Linked DNA regions of Schizosaccharomyces pombe. The protein of the gene in region 1 interacts with the protein of each later gene in a biochemical or structural test. Each region holds a gene or a part of one and is shown in the gene's direction. Other genes may lie near its edges. The genes, in order: hsp90, aha1 and sti1.

Evidence for each region.
Region 2: the proteins of hsp90 (region 1) and aha1 form a complex in vitro, tested with the Schizosaccharomyces pombe proteins (one study listed by BioGRID).
Region 3: the proteins of hsp90 (region 1) and sti1 form a complex in vitro, tested with the Schizosaccharomyces pombe proteins (one study listed by BioGRID).

What each region holds. Positions count from the first base shown.
Region 1 is NC_003424.3:3,887,935-3,892,860, reverse strand, and holds hsp90 (Hsp90 chaperone), read left to right. Parts: upstream 1-1,721; 5' UTR 1,722-1,972; coding exon 1,973-4,087; 3' UTR 4,088-4,303; downstream 4,304-4,926. Other genes in the region: diphthamide biosynthesis protein Dph4, read left to right, coding at 103-316, 356-561; myosin II regulatory light chain Rlc1, read right to left, coding at 4,737-4,926. UniProt on the Schizosaccharomyces pombe protein: Molecular chaperone that promotes the maturation, structural maintenance and proper regulation of specific target proteins involved for instance in cell cycle control and signal transduction. Undergoes a functional cycle that is linked to its ATPase activity.
Region 2 is NC_003423.3:2,147,143-2,151,392, forward strand, and holds aha1 (chaperone activator Aha1), read left to right. Parts: upstream 1-1,910; 5' UTR 1,911-1,982; coding exon 1,983-2,014; intron 2,015-2,389; coding exon 2,390-3,368; 3' UTR 3,369-3,659; downstream 3,660-4,250. Other genes in the region: WD repeat-containing protein Rrb1, read left to right, coding at 1-556; SPOM_SPBC1711.09C (SNARE-associated protein), read right to left, coding at 3,818-4,250.
Region 3 is NC_003421.2:1,260,738-1,265,323, reverse strand, and holds sti1 (chaperone activator Sti1), read left to right. Parts: upstream 1-1,748; 5' UTR 1,749-1,942; coding exon 1,943-3,718; 3' UTR 3,719-3,986; downstream 3,987-4,586. Other genes in the region: osh6 (oxysterol binding protein), read left to right, coding at 1-594; bye1 (transcription elongation regulator), read right to left, coding at 4,525-4,586. UniProt on the Schizosaccharomyces pombe protein: May play a role in mediating the heat shock response of some HSP70 genes.

The sequences.
Region 1 (4,926 bases):
TTCATCATTGCTCTCCTACATCAAAGTAATGACAAATCAATTGGGCACCCTAACTATGTATATGCATATACCAGCAGAACGACATAAGTGTGCTGTATCCTCATGAACCACTATTCGGTTCTAAACCTCAAAGATGGAAAAACTTACACAGACGATGAAATAAAAGAAGCTTATAGAAAAGCGTTACTACTGTTTCACCCGGATAAGTGTAAAGAAAAGCCCTCTGTGGTGTATACTATTGATCAAGTGAAAGAAGCATATCAAGTCCTTTCAAGTGAAAAAGATCGTCAGCAATATCAAATAAAACAAGAAGAGGGTAATTTTGTTTTGAAGGTTTTTTTATTAATCTAAACAGAAAGCTCGCATTACTACTCTATCGTTGATCTAAGTGAATTTGAAGAACTCGACAACGGCTCCTATTATTATCCTTGCCGATGCGGCGATTTAGGAGGATATGTTGTCACGGAAGACGACCTGGAAAATAACAGAAGTGTCGTCCCATGCATGGGTTGCTCTCTAACTATACAAGTAGATTATGAAATCGCGGAATCCGACTCATGATATCTTTTAAAGGGAGGCCAAGTATTTGTTGAGAGAAGGCAAGGCTAGTCTCTCTTGCTAAGGATTGTATAATAATATAGACTAATTGCAGCTGTAAATAATTTGGAAGTTTCAAAAGAGTCCTTAAATGAACGGTTAATTACCTTTGAAAATTTATGGCGGAGAATCACTTTTGATTTATTTATATACAAAGAATTTATTGCTGAGATATTATTAATAGCCTTTTTACTAAAATTTGAGTACTGTAAAAACTGCTGGAATGTTTCAATAATAATTTGTATTCGATAGGTGACATGGCTGTAGCGAAATTTATGCAAGCGACGCACATACCGAAGTAGTATCGGATGCGTTTCGTCTTGTCAAGTAAGTTTTATGCAAATGCGAAGGATTGGGTGTTTAACGATGTAAACAAATACAGTACAAGTTTATGAAATGGTATTTGCTAAATTCTGTTCGATTTTGAGAAATATTACATATTCTGTTCTTTATTATATATTCTATAAATTTATGTAACAAATGTCTACGGCCATACCTAGGCGAAAACACCAGTTCCCGTCCGATCACTGCAGTTAAGCGTCTGAGGGCCTCGTTAGTACTATGGTTGGAGACAACATGGGAATCCGGGGTGCTGTAGGCCTCTTTTTCGGAACATTATTTTTAATATGTATTCTAATTGCGTGCAAAAGAAATTTGAAGAAATATCACTCACTTGGAATTTATGAAGTTCCCATCATCTAGATAAGATACAGTTAAACACTTTAAATGATCGATCTCGTTTAGCTAACCTAAAAACGGTCGGTTATGAACAGTGAACGTTAGCGAGATGCCGATTTTATCACCCTTCAACGATGCTTAACGAAAAAACCTTTCGCTACAGTAAAACCTTATGAGCTTATCACAGTGTAAGGATGTTTCCGAATATTGGTTGTTCGTAATTTTACGCAATACACTATCTTCCCTCTAGCATCTTCTAGATACACTTTAGTGAGAAATTTTTTTTCTCACCCCAACCTTCTATCGCAATCCAAATACCACACTTCGTTGCATCCGCACTATTCTTTGAGTTCCATGTCCTTCCACCAAAAACCAGGGTTAGGGTTTTGGAATGTTCGAGTTGCTTTGTTTACAGAATATAAACCACCATACACGTACCCTCCGCCATCTAGCTCTCAAGTTATTTATAACCCATTTCCCACTAAGTTCCTTTGTTGAACGCTTAAAAGATTGTTCATACGTTTGAACATATTTAAAATCACGTTATAGCTGAGAAGAAAACCCCTTTTCAAGTAATAAAAGTATATTTAATTACTTATTTTACCCTTTATATTACGAACTGTACGACTTAACCGGTTTTATCTATAAATTCCTTCATTTTTCTTTGTTTTCGTTTTCAATTTGATTTCATTACAAAATGTCGAACACAGAAACTTTCAAGTTTGAGGCTGAAATCAGCCAGTTGATGTCTTTAATCATCAACACTGTTTATTCTAACAAGGAAATTTTCCTTCGTGAGCTTATTTCCAACGCTTCCGATGCCTTGGACAAAATTCGTTATCAAAGCCTTTCCGATCCTCATGCCTTAGACGCTGAGAAGGATCTTTTCATTCGCATTACTCCTGACAAGGAGAACAAAATCCTTAGCATTCGCGATACCGGTATTGGTATGACCAAGAATGACCTTATCAACAACCTTGGTGTTATCGCCAAGTCTGGTACTAAGCAGTTTATGGAAGCTGCTGCTTCTGGTGCTGATATCTCCATGATTGGTCAATTCGGTGTTGGTTTCTACTCTGCATACTTGGTTGCCGACAAGGTCCAAGTCGTAAGTAAGCATAATGACGATGAGCAATACATCTGGGAATCCTCTGCTGGTGGTAGCTTCACCGTCACTTTGGACACCGATGGACCTCGCTTGTTACGTGGTACCGAGATTCGTCTCTTCATGAAAGAAGACCAACTTCAATACCTCGAGGAAAAGACTATCAAAGATACCGTCAAGAAACATAGTGAGTTCATCTCTTACCCCATTCAATTAGTTGTTACCCGTGAGGTTGAGAAGGAGGTCCCTGAAGAAGAAGAGACCGAAGAAGTTAAGAATGAAGAAGACGATAAGGCTCCTAAGATTGAGGAGGTTGATGATGAATCTGAGAAGAAGGAGAAGAAGACCAAGAAGGTCAAGGAGACCACCACTGAGACTGAGGAGTTGAACAAGACCAAGCCCATTTGGACTCGCAACCCCAGTGAAGTTACCAAGGAAGAGTATGCCTCTTTCTACAAGTCTTTGACTAACGACTGGGAAGACCATTTGGCCGTCAAGCACTTCAGCGTTGAAGGTCAATTGGAATTCCGTGCCATTCTTTTCGTCCCCCGCCGCGCTCCTATGGACCTTTTTGAGGCCAAGCGTAAGAAGAACAACATCAAGCTCTATGTTCGCCGTGTTTTCATTACCGACGACTGTGAAGAGTTGATTCCTGAATGGTTGGGTTTCATTAAGGGTGTTGTTGATTCTGAGGACTTGCCCTTGAACTTGTCTCGTGAGATGCTTCAACAAAACAAGATCATGAAGGTTATTCGTAAGAACCTTGTCCGTCGTTGTCTTGATATGTTCAACGAGATTGCCGAGGACAAGGAGAACTTCAAGACTTTCTACGATGCTTTCAGCAAGAATTTGAAGCTTGGTATCCATGAGGATGCTGCTAACCGCCCTGCTTTAGCCAAGCTTTTGCGTTACAACTCCCTTAACTCCCCTGATGATCTTATCAGTCTTGAGGACTACATCACTAAGATGCCCGAACATCAAAAGAACATTTATTTCATCACTGGTGAATCTAAGCAAGCCGTTGAGAACTCTCCCTTCTTGGAAATCTTCCGTGCCAAGAAGTTTGATGTTCTCTTCATGGTTGACCCCATTGATGAGTACGCTGTCACTCAACTCAAGGAATTCGAGGGCAAGAAATTGGTTAACATTACTAAGGATGGTCTTGAGTTGGAAGAGACTGACGAGGAGAAGGCTGCTCGCGAGAAGCTCGAAAAAGAGTATGAGGAGTTTGCTAAGCAACTTAAGACCATTTTGGGTGACAAGGTTGAAAAGGTTGTTGTTTCTAACAAGATTGTTGGTTCTCCTTGCTTGTTAACTACCGGTCAATATGGTTGGTCTGCTAACATGGAACGTATCATGAAGGCTCAAGCCCTTCGTGATACTTCTATGAGTGCCTATATGTCTAGCCGCAAGACTTTTGAGATTAACCCCAAGTCTCCCATCATTGCTGAGCTCAAGAAGAAGGTTGAGGAGAATGGTGCCGAAGACCGCTCTGTGAAGGATCTTGCTACTATTTTGTATGAGACCGCCTTGTTGTCCTCTGGTTTCACTCTTGATGACCCTAGTGCTTATGCTCAACGTATCAACCGTCTTATTTCTCTTGGTCTTAGCATTGACGAAGAGGAGGAGGCTCCTATTGAGGAAATTTCTACCGAATCCGTCGCTGCTGAAAACAATGCTGAGAGCAAGATGGAGGAAGTCGATTAAATCAAATGCATCTAATGTGTCTTTCCAAAATTTATGCATATAATGTTTTTCTTGGATTAAAGCAAGTTATCCTATACATTGTTAACGATTCTAGTGTCTGTTGTCATTCAAAAATTTCTTTCTACACGATTTTTCTTAATACACACTAGATTACAGGTTGTTTGGAAGTTGTTATAATATGGAATGTTGATTAGTAATATTAAAGTTTATGGATACTTATTAGTACATCAAATTTTGTTTTCGAATAATGTAGTTTATACTACTAACAAGTACAAGTTGGTGCTTAAAAGTTATTTTTTTCTAGTCATGTGAGAGCTGTTTTACAAGGTAGGATAATTTTGATGAGGAACATAGGTATGCTGGGCTAATATAGATTTATTCATACATTAATTGAACCCTCGAATGAAAATATGGTTAATGACATTAAGCCTAAGCTCTAACTCACTAAACACTGCAAATAATAGTAAAGTCGCAGAGAGTAGCTAAGTATTGAGACACATAAAGTATAGGTCACAACGAACATAAATGTATCAAATGCTTTCATAAAAAGTTAAAAGAGAAGAGGAAAATTCGTCTAAGGGAAATGGCTCAGGTTAAAAAGATAAAGTATTAGAGGGAAGAATGTGAAACATATCTGGCTGCTCTTAACTCAATTGCTATCTTTTGACCCAGCAATAGCATCAACGAATTTCTCGTAATAGAATACACCATGACTGGTGTACGAGCGTAAAATAGACTCGACTTCTTGAGGATCCATTCTATCACCCATACTTGACAAAGCATCTCTCATAGTGGAAATTGGAATTTTGCCGGATTGAGTATCATCGAATGTAGAGAAC
Region 2 (4,250 bases), on another chromosome or scaffold:
TCTACAATGGTCTCCTAGTGAAAAGAACGTATTTTCCAGTTGCAGTTGCGATGGCACTTTTCGCATCTGGGATGTCCGAAATAAACAAAAGACGTCAGCTCTTACCGTCAATGCTCATCCTGGTGTCGACGTTAATGTGTTAAGTTGGAATACACGTGTACCTAATTTATTGGCAACTGGTGCTGATAATGGTGTTTGGAGCGTGTGGGACCTTCGTTCTCTGAAAAGTTCATCCTCAGTTGCAACTCCTGTTGCTTCTTTCAAATGGCACCGTGCTCCTATATACAGTATTGAATGGCATCCTAACGAAGATTCCGTTATTGGTGTCGTTGGTGCGGATAATCAAATTTCATTATGGGATTTATCGGTGGAGCTTGATGAAGAAGAACAAGACAGTCGTGCAGCAGAGGGGTTGCAGGACGTTCCTCCTCAGTTAATGTTTATACACATGGGTCAACAAGAAATCAAGGAAATGCATTGGCATAGGCAAATACCTGGAACGATTGTCTCCACTGCTATGACTGGTATAAATGTGTTTAAAACTATCACTTTTTAGTGCCTAATTTTTCAATGCAAGGGTTTGGTCAAGTAGTTCTTGCTAAATCACTCGTTCTTTTTTCATTTGAGAGTGGTGAAATGTTATCATATTTTGGTTGGTTCGGTTTTGGTGATATAAAAAGTTTTTTTTGATAGATTATAATAATTATCTTAATTGGAAAGTAGAATCTACTTTTAAAAGCAAATTACGCTCTATGTTTGCTAATTTCAAGCGTTATTGTTATAAGTCTGAACGCTTGTGTATTTATGAAAACTGTATCATATGCTTAACGACTGCTTTCCAACTGAGAAGGCAAACTATTTATTTTTATTAATTTGAAAAATAGAATTCAATATGATACACAAAGAGTTTTCAAGTTAAATGTAACTTCATATCTGTCTTGAAGTGGATCTTCTTTCCTTTTCAGCATGGAAAGATGCAGAATTTTCCCAACGGAGGTTTTTCACTAAATACACATTATTAGTTTAACAATTTAAATTACTATCCGCATGATTATGCAGTTGATTAATTTGCAAATAGATGTTATTATACAATAACATGCATTTACCACTGAGACCATTAGTCTTCCATCTATACCTCATGCGGTATATATTGTTCAATGCAAGGGTTTGGTTCAAGTAGTTCTTGCTAAATCACTCGTTCTTTTTTCATTTGAGAGTGGTGAAATGTTATCATATTTTGGTTGGTTCGGTTTTGGTGATATAAAAAGTTTTTTTTGATAGATTATAATAATTATCTTAATTGGAAAGTAGAATCTACTTTTAAAAGCAAATTACGCTCTATGTTTGCTAATTTCAAGCGTTATTGTTATAAGTCTGAACGCTTGTGTATTTATGAAAACTGTATCATATGCTTAACGACTGCTTTCCAACTGAGAAGGCAAACTATTTATTTTTATTAATTTGAAAAATAGAATTCAATATGATACACAAAGAGTTTTCAAGTTAAATGTAACTTCATATCTGTCTTGAAGTGGATCTTCTTTCCTTTTCAGCATGGAAAGATGCAGAATTTTCCCAACGGAGGTTTTTCACTAAATACACATTATTAGTTTAACAATTTAAATTACTATCCGCATGATTATGCAGTTGATTAATTTGCAAATAGATGTTATTATACAATAACATGCATTTACCACTGAGACCATTAGTCTTCCATCTATACCTCATGCGGTATATATTGATAGTAGAGCACATTCATTGTTAGCACAACAGTTTCTAGCGGAGCTTAGCATACTGCATGTCCTCTTAGATACTCGTCTTTTCCTTCTCTCGAAGATTCCTGAGACTTCGATGGGGGTGGTGTAGGTGGGGGTATATATATAGAAGGAGGTTGAAACGAGCATGAGATTGAAATTGGACGCAACACCTTGTTTGCTTTAGAATTTGAACGAAATTCATTTGTTAGCTTATATTGAGTAGGAATGTCGGCCACATCTATAAACCCCAATAACTGGTATGTACAGTAGTGTTGGGATAAAAAAATTTCCAAACTTAAGTCATGTAACTATGTTTTTATTCATTTCCATCGTATTATCCCTTATTCAATTTCAATGACATTTTTGATTGGGTTGAACACAATAATATTCTATTGAATGAATTCGTATAAACGAGCGAAATTGGGTTTCACCATTTTACATTGTTGCTAGCCAAATCATGATGTCAAGATTGGGTTGATCCTATTATGAAAGTTTTTTCTTTATTGAGTCGGTAGTTATTCAATGCGTTGGTTTCTGAATATGGAATAGTAGTTCATCGTCAAAGGTTTGGAATATTTACGAAACGATGGATATGTCCAAATAAAACGATTGATTCGCTAACTCAATTTTAGGCATTGGACTTCAAAGGATTGTCGAGTATGGTCTCATGAGTACTTCAATAAGGAACTTCCTAAGATCCAAGCTTCTGAGGGCCCCACTAGTGCTCGCATTACCCAAGTCAATAGCTGTGAAGGAGATGTCGATGTCTCTATGCGCAAAAGAAAGGTCATTACTATTTTTGATTTGAAAATACAAATGGAATTTAAAGGAGAAACTAAGGATGGAGTTGAAGCTACTGGCTCCATTACTTGCCCCGAGCTTTCTTATGACTTAGGATACTCTGATTACGTGTTTGACATCGACATTTACTCTGCTTCAAAGGAAAAAGAACCCATTAAAGAGCTTGTTCGTGAGAAAATTATTCCTCAAATTCGTCAGCTTTTTTCTGGATTTTCCCAAGTTTTGTTGCAAACCCATGGTGACGATGTTTATCTCTCCACTGAAGAACATAACGGTAACGCTGCTCGTGGACTTCCCGTGCATAGTAGCTTTAAGCAAAACAATTCTTCACAGACTTCGTCTAACAAAGGTACTACCACGGTGGCCGCTGGATCTGGCTCTGATGGCTCTCGTGTATCAGCAGTAGTCAATACTGCCGATATTTCTGAGAACTATACTTTTGATGCTCCTGCTAATGAACTTTATGCTACTTTCCTTGATCCTGCTCGCGTAGCTGCTTGGTCTCGCGCTCCTCCGCAACTCGATGTTCGTCCGCAAGGCGCTTTCTCTCTGTTCCATGGAAATGTAGTTGGAAAATTCCTTGTACTGGAAGAAAACAAAAAAATCGTGCAAACTTGGCGTCTTAGTTCGTGGCCCACCGGTCACTATGCTGAAATAACATTCACCTTCGATCAAGCTGATTCTTATACTACTTTACGTATGATTATGAAGGGTGTTCCGATCGGCGAAGAGGAGGTTGTACAAGGTAATATTCAGGATTATTATATTCGTCCCATTAAGACAGTTTTTGGTTTTGGCGCTGTTCTGTAATCGATCTTGACTTTCACATATGGATGATTAGCTCAGAAAAAAATTTAACAATCCTTTATAAATCCTGCATACAGGCTATGTTTCAAATAATGTATTCTATTGTGAGTTTTGCTTTTTTTGAAGGCAAATGAAATATAGATAAAATCAGGTTTTATCAAGAATGCATAACCATAGTTTGTCCTCTTGTTTTTTCAAAATTATTAAAATTTAATGAATTTTACAGCCATGATTGACTGATGCCACGATTTGTGAATATTTTCACTGATTGTATGTCTAATTATAATATGTTACACATTGGTAAATCCCATGTTTATTAAAAACAAAATATAGAATATCTAAATTAATTTCATCAAATTGTTAGGATTGTGATCGTTTTCTACGTATTAATATATGAAAGTGATATGTACCTTAATAATTATACGATAAGAGAATTTTTAGGGACAAATGTGTCAGTGTTGATGACTTAACAAATGTTTTCTTTCTGAGTTGTCAGTTTCATTCTGTTCTGAAGTTTGCTCAAGATGTCTCAGATCAATACTATCGGTTGGTTGTGACTCTAAATGATTTAATACATCTGAAGTACTGTTCGTAGAATCTTCTAAAGTGCTATTTTTAATTGCTTTATAACGAACAATCAGAAACGCTAAAGTACCAAGAGTCACGACAATGCTGAGAACAATTCCTACTATGTTTGCAGCACTTGATTTGTTGTGAACGATACAGTAACCAGCGTAAACCGGAACAAGATATTTAAAACAAGAGAGCCAGAAGGCAATTGCCCAACCGATGTAGGATAATTCTGGAAGTGTCGCAAAAAAAACAGTCGTAAAATGAGTAGGAAGAAAGCTTAACCTGATCAGCCAGATCAGCGGATAACTACCT
Region 3 (4,586 bases), on another chromosome or scaffold:
GTTTCGAAGCACGATGTTTATCTTGTTTCTGCTCGTCCATTAGAGGAGCAGGGGGAGCGTGAGTCTCAAAGGTTGTGGTATAAAACGTGTCAGGCAGTAATAGCCCGTGACCAAACTACTGCTACCGAAACAAAATCCGCCATAGAGGATCGTCAGCGAGAAGAAGCAAAACAGCGCGAGATAGAGAATGTTCAATGGAAGCCCAAATACTTTAAAATGATTGCACCTGAAGAGTACATTCTGAACTTTGACATCCCTAATGGCAAGTCAGACCTTGAAGTTTTGTGTGCGTTGGATGAGTTTATCCCAATTTTCAGTGAGGTTGACAGGATTGCGTTTCACAAGTTTCTTTCTGAAAACACAAAGCCGGAAGATAGCTCCATCCATAAACATTCACGTGATGCAAGCGGCGATAGTACAAAGGGATTTGCAGAACACATGCCAGCGCCTGCGCGTAGGCGACGACCCCAGAGTACTGCAAGTTTTGTAACATATCGGAGTGACAACGGATCGGTTGATGAATATCATGACGCTCAACTCCCTGACCCTAATACTCTATCAAAGTTACATGAAGAACAGGATCCAGCTTTATAATGAGAAGGAAATACTTCGTTCTAATGGATTTTTATGATTAAGTGGTTTATATTTGATACGTTTGTTGTTTTTTATATTGATTTTCTGTCTTTGGAGTCGTGAATGAAGAATGCTTTTTTCTTTTAGCTGAGGATTTTCTGAATTTAGAATGTTAATATGGACATGTCTCTCATCCAGTGAGTTAAGTCCATCCCTGATGAAGAGAGATAAATTGCAACGTTGTTATTTACCATATTTTTCCTTAATTGGGATTTAGTTCTTTATACACTATTAACCTATTCTTATATATCAATCTTTCTTTACTCTCCGTTACTTCCTACCTTGTTTTGGTAGTGTGAACCGATGTTAATAGAAATGTAAAGTGGTTTTATTTGTTAGTGTATTACTCTAGTAGAGAAGCAAAAGCGTCAAAAATGTGTTTCCATAATTCATCCTACCGGTTTGGGTAACGCTCAGGATGAGCGTTATTCAATAATGGTAAATTTTTATTTAACAAATGCTTGCTTTATGCTTTCTTCAAAGAACTTGATATCGTAGAACTGACTAGGTTAGTTACTTGGATCTTGTGATATTCATAGTGGTTTACTCAACGCAGATGAAACGAGTTAAAGTGCCAAACGATAAAAATGTGGACTAAAAGAAAAGTCCGGAAAAAGGAGTAAGTAATTCCTCTTGGTATTGTTTTTAAGTCACTTTCTACTGACGTTTTGACTGTGTATTCAGATGAAGCAGCCTGCACCAGAAAGTATAAAGACTTCGTAGAAGAACTTGAGCCATCGTTTTTTATCCTACAAAGAGAATTATGTTATACTGCAATGAAAAAAGAATACAAATAATATCATCTACTATTTTTCATGAATAACAGTGTTTTACAGATATACAAATTCAAACAAACTGTCACCTTCCAAGGAGGATGGAAGAGTTGTGACCTCAAGACGAAATCCTTACAAAATCAGAAGGGAAAGCAATTTTGAAGTTATTAAAGTAGTTTAAAAATACAATTAACTATTTTAGAATTATCTAATTTTATATCATGAATTTGCGTGTAAGTTTAAACAAAAGAATCTTCGTTATTCTGGAGTTTTCGTTAACCTTCGCTGAGCTTGAATGACGATGGCCATATATATACACAAGCGTGTCCAGCGGTGTCGGGTATATTTACAATTACCTGTCTTTAGCATACATCTTCAAAGACAAACGAAATTCCAAATTCTACGAAAAAGTAGTAAACGGAAAGAGTTACGACGCTTAGTTGCGGAAAATCGATATTGTTGATATTTAATTAGTGGGAAATCGTTTTGAAAGCAAACGAAACTCGAAAACTGGTGATTTCAGTGAATTCATTAAAATGGCAGAAGAATTGAAAGCCAAGGGAAATGCGGCGTTCTCCAAAAAGGATTATAAAACAGCCATTGATTACTTTACTCAAGCAATTGGTTTAGATGAAAGAAATCACATTTTGTATTCCAACCGCTCTGCGTGTTATGCTTCTGAAAAGGACTATGCCGATGCACTGAAAGATGCCACAAAATGTACCGAATTGAAGCCAGACTGGGCTAAAGGTTGGTCAAGAAAAGGCGCTGCTTTACACGGACTTGGCGACCTTGATGCAGCACGTAGCGCATATGAGGAAGGCTTGAAGCATGATGCTAATAATGCGCAATTGCTAAATGGTTTGAAAAGTGTAGAAGCCGCACAAACTCAAGCCGCTTCTGGTGCCGGCGGTTTCAACCCGTTCGCCAAGTTAGGTTCTCAACTTTCCGATCCTAAATTCATGGAAAAGCTTGCTAGCAATCCGGAAACGGCTTCTTTGCTTGCTGATTCGGCCTTTATGGCTAAGCTCCAAAAGATTCAACAAAATCCTGGCAGTATCATGGCCGAGTTGAATGACCCAAGGATGATGAAGGTGATTGGCATGTTGATGGGTATTGATATCAACATGAATGCGGGAGAGGGCGCTGCAGAGGAACAAGAGAAGAAAGAAGAGTTTGCTCCTTCTTCTTCCACGCCTTCTGCTGACTCTGCCAAGCCTGAAACCACTAATCCTCCTCCCCAGCCTCAAGCCAGTGAACCCATGGAAGAAGACAAAACTGCTGAGGAATTGGAGGAAGCAGCCACAAAGGAAGCCCTTAAGAAAAAAGCCGATCAAGAAAAGCAAATTGGCAATGAAAACTACAAGAAGCGTAACTTTCCTGTGGCTATTGAACAATACAAAAAGGCATGGGATACATACAAGGATATCACCTATTTGAATAACCTTGCTGCTGCTTATTTTGAAGCGGATCAACTTGATGATTGCATTAAAACTTGTGAAGATGCAATCGAGCAAGGTCGTGAGTTGCGTGCCGACTTTAAGCTCATTGCCAAAGCACTTGGCCGTTTGGGTACTACGTATCAGAAACGCGGTGATTTAGTCAAAGCTATTGATTACTATCAACGTTCTCTTACCGAACATCGTACTCCTGACATTCTCTCTAGGCTAAAGGATGCTGAAAAGAGTAAGGAACTTCAGGATCGTGAAGCTTACATTGACCCTGACAAAGCCGAGGAGTCTCGTGTCAAAGGTAATGAGCTTTTTAAATCTGGCGACTTTGCCAATGCCATTAAGGAGTATACAGAAATGACCAAGCGTGCTCCTTCTGATCCTCGTGGCTTTGGTAACCGTGCTGCTGCCTATCTGAAGGTGATGGCTCCCGCAGAGTGCATTCGTGATTGCAACAAGGCAATCGAGTTAGATCCCAACTTTGCAAAAGCGTATGTTCGCAAAGCTCAAGCTCTTTTTATGTTGAAAGATTACAATAAATGTATTGATGCATGCAATGAAGCTTCTGAAGTTGACCGTCGTGAGCCCAATACCGGTAAGAACCTTCGTGAAATCGAGTCTCAATTGTCCAAGTGTATGAGCGCAATGGCTAGTCAGAGACAAAATGAAACTGAGGAGGAGACGATGGCTCGAATTCAAAAAGATCCTGAAGTTCTAGGAATCTTACAAGACCCTGCTATGCAAGCTATCCTTGGACAAGCTCGTGAGAATCCTGCTGCTTTGATGGAACACATGAAGAACCCAACCGTTAAAAGCAAAATTGAGAAGCTGATTGCCAGCGGTGTTATTCGCCTGGGCTAAATTTGCGCTTTTGTGAGAAGTGAGATTTAAAAAAAAGAAAGGTTTTAACGTTTACTTAGTTTATGAATGTTGTTTGTTAAAGAGTAATCCCTTACTTTAATACAACCGGATGAATTGGATAACTGCTTTTTTGTTAAATATTTCACTAAACGAAGAAGTTGGGTGTTATTTATCCTCCAAATTTTTAGGGTATTGATGAGTTAGTCGATTAATAGTTTGATCATTTAATAAACATAAGCACTAATTCATGTTGAATTTAAAATTATAATCATATCACGATAGGTAGTTACTAAATGCTTTAACCTTTTATTCTCCAAATTTTAGGGTGGATATGAAAAGTATTATAATATCAAATCAAAATTTTAAGTCCAGATGTGAATCGCTTTACATTGTGCTAACTAACAAACTCAATTAAGAGTGTAAAAAAAAAATAAATAAATATCATTAGGTTGACCTTAATTATCCATAACTAAAATGTTATGAAAATAGATTATGCATATCAAGCAGTAATATTAGATAGATATGTAAGTCAAAGAAGCCATGCTTCACAAAATATACCGTTAATAAAAAACTCGTCAATGTGTCTCAAAGATTCTAGGATAAGGTTAACTAGGACCATCTCCCAAAAATGATATTATAATGAAAACTTTTAAGGACCGGGTTAATTGATTCTTTAAACTACAGTTTTCCTATTTTAATATATACCAAAAAGAGACATATATGCCATTTTTGATGATCCAAAAAGGAGGAGTTATGCAAGAACGGTGCTTGTTAATAACCTCCATTAAAAAAGAAATTTACAAAAATTATTGTTTGGACGCCTTTTTCTGAGCCGCCGAAATGGCATTCTGCATAAATTGAGGGTTAA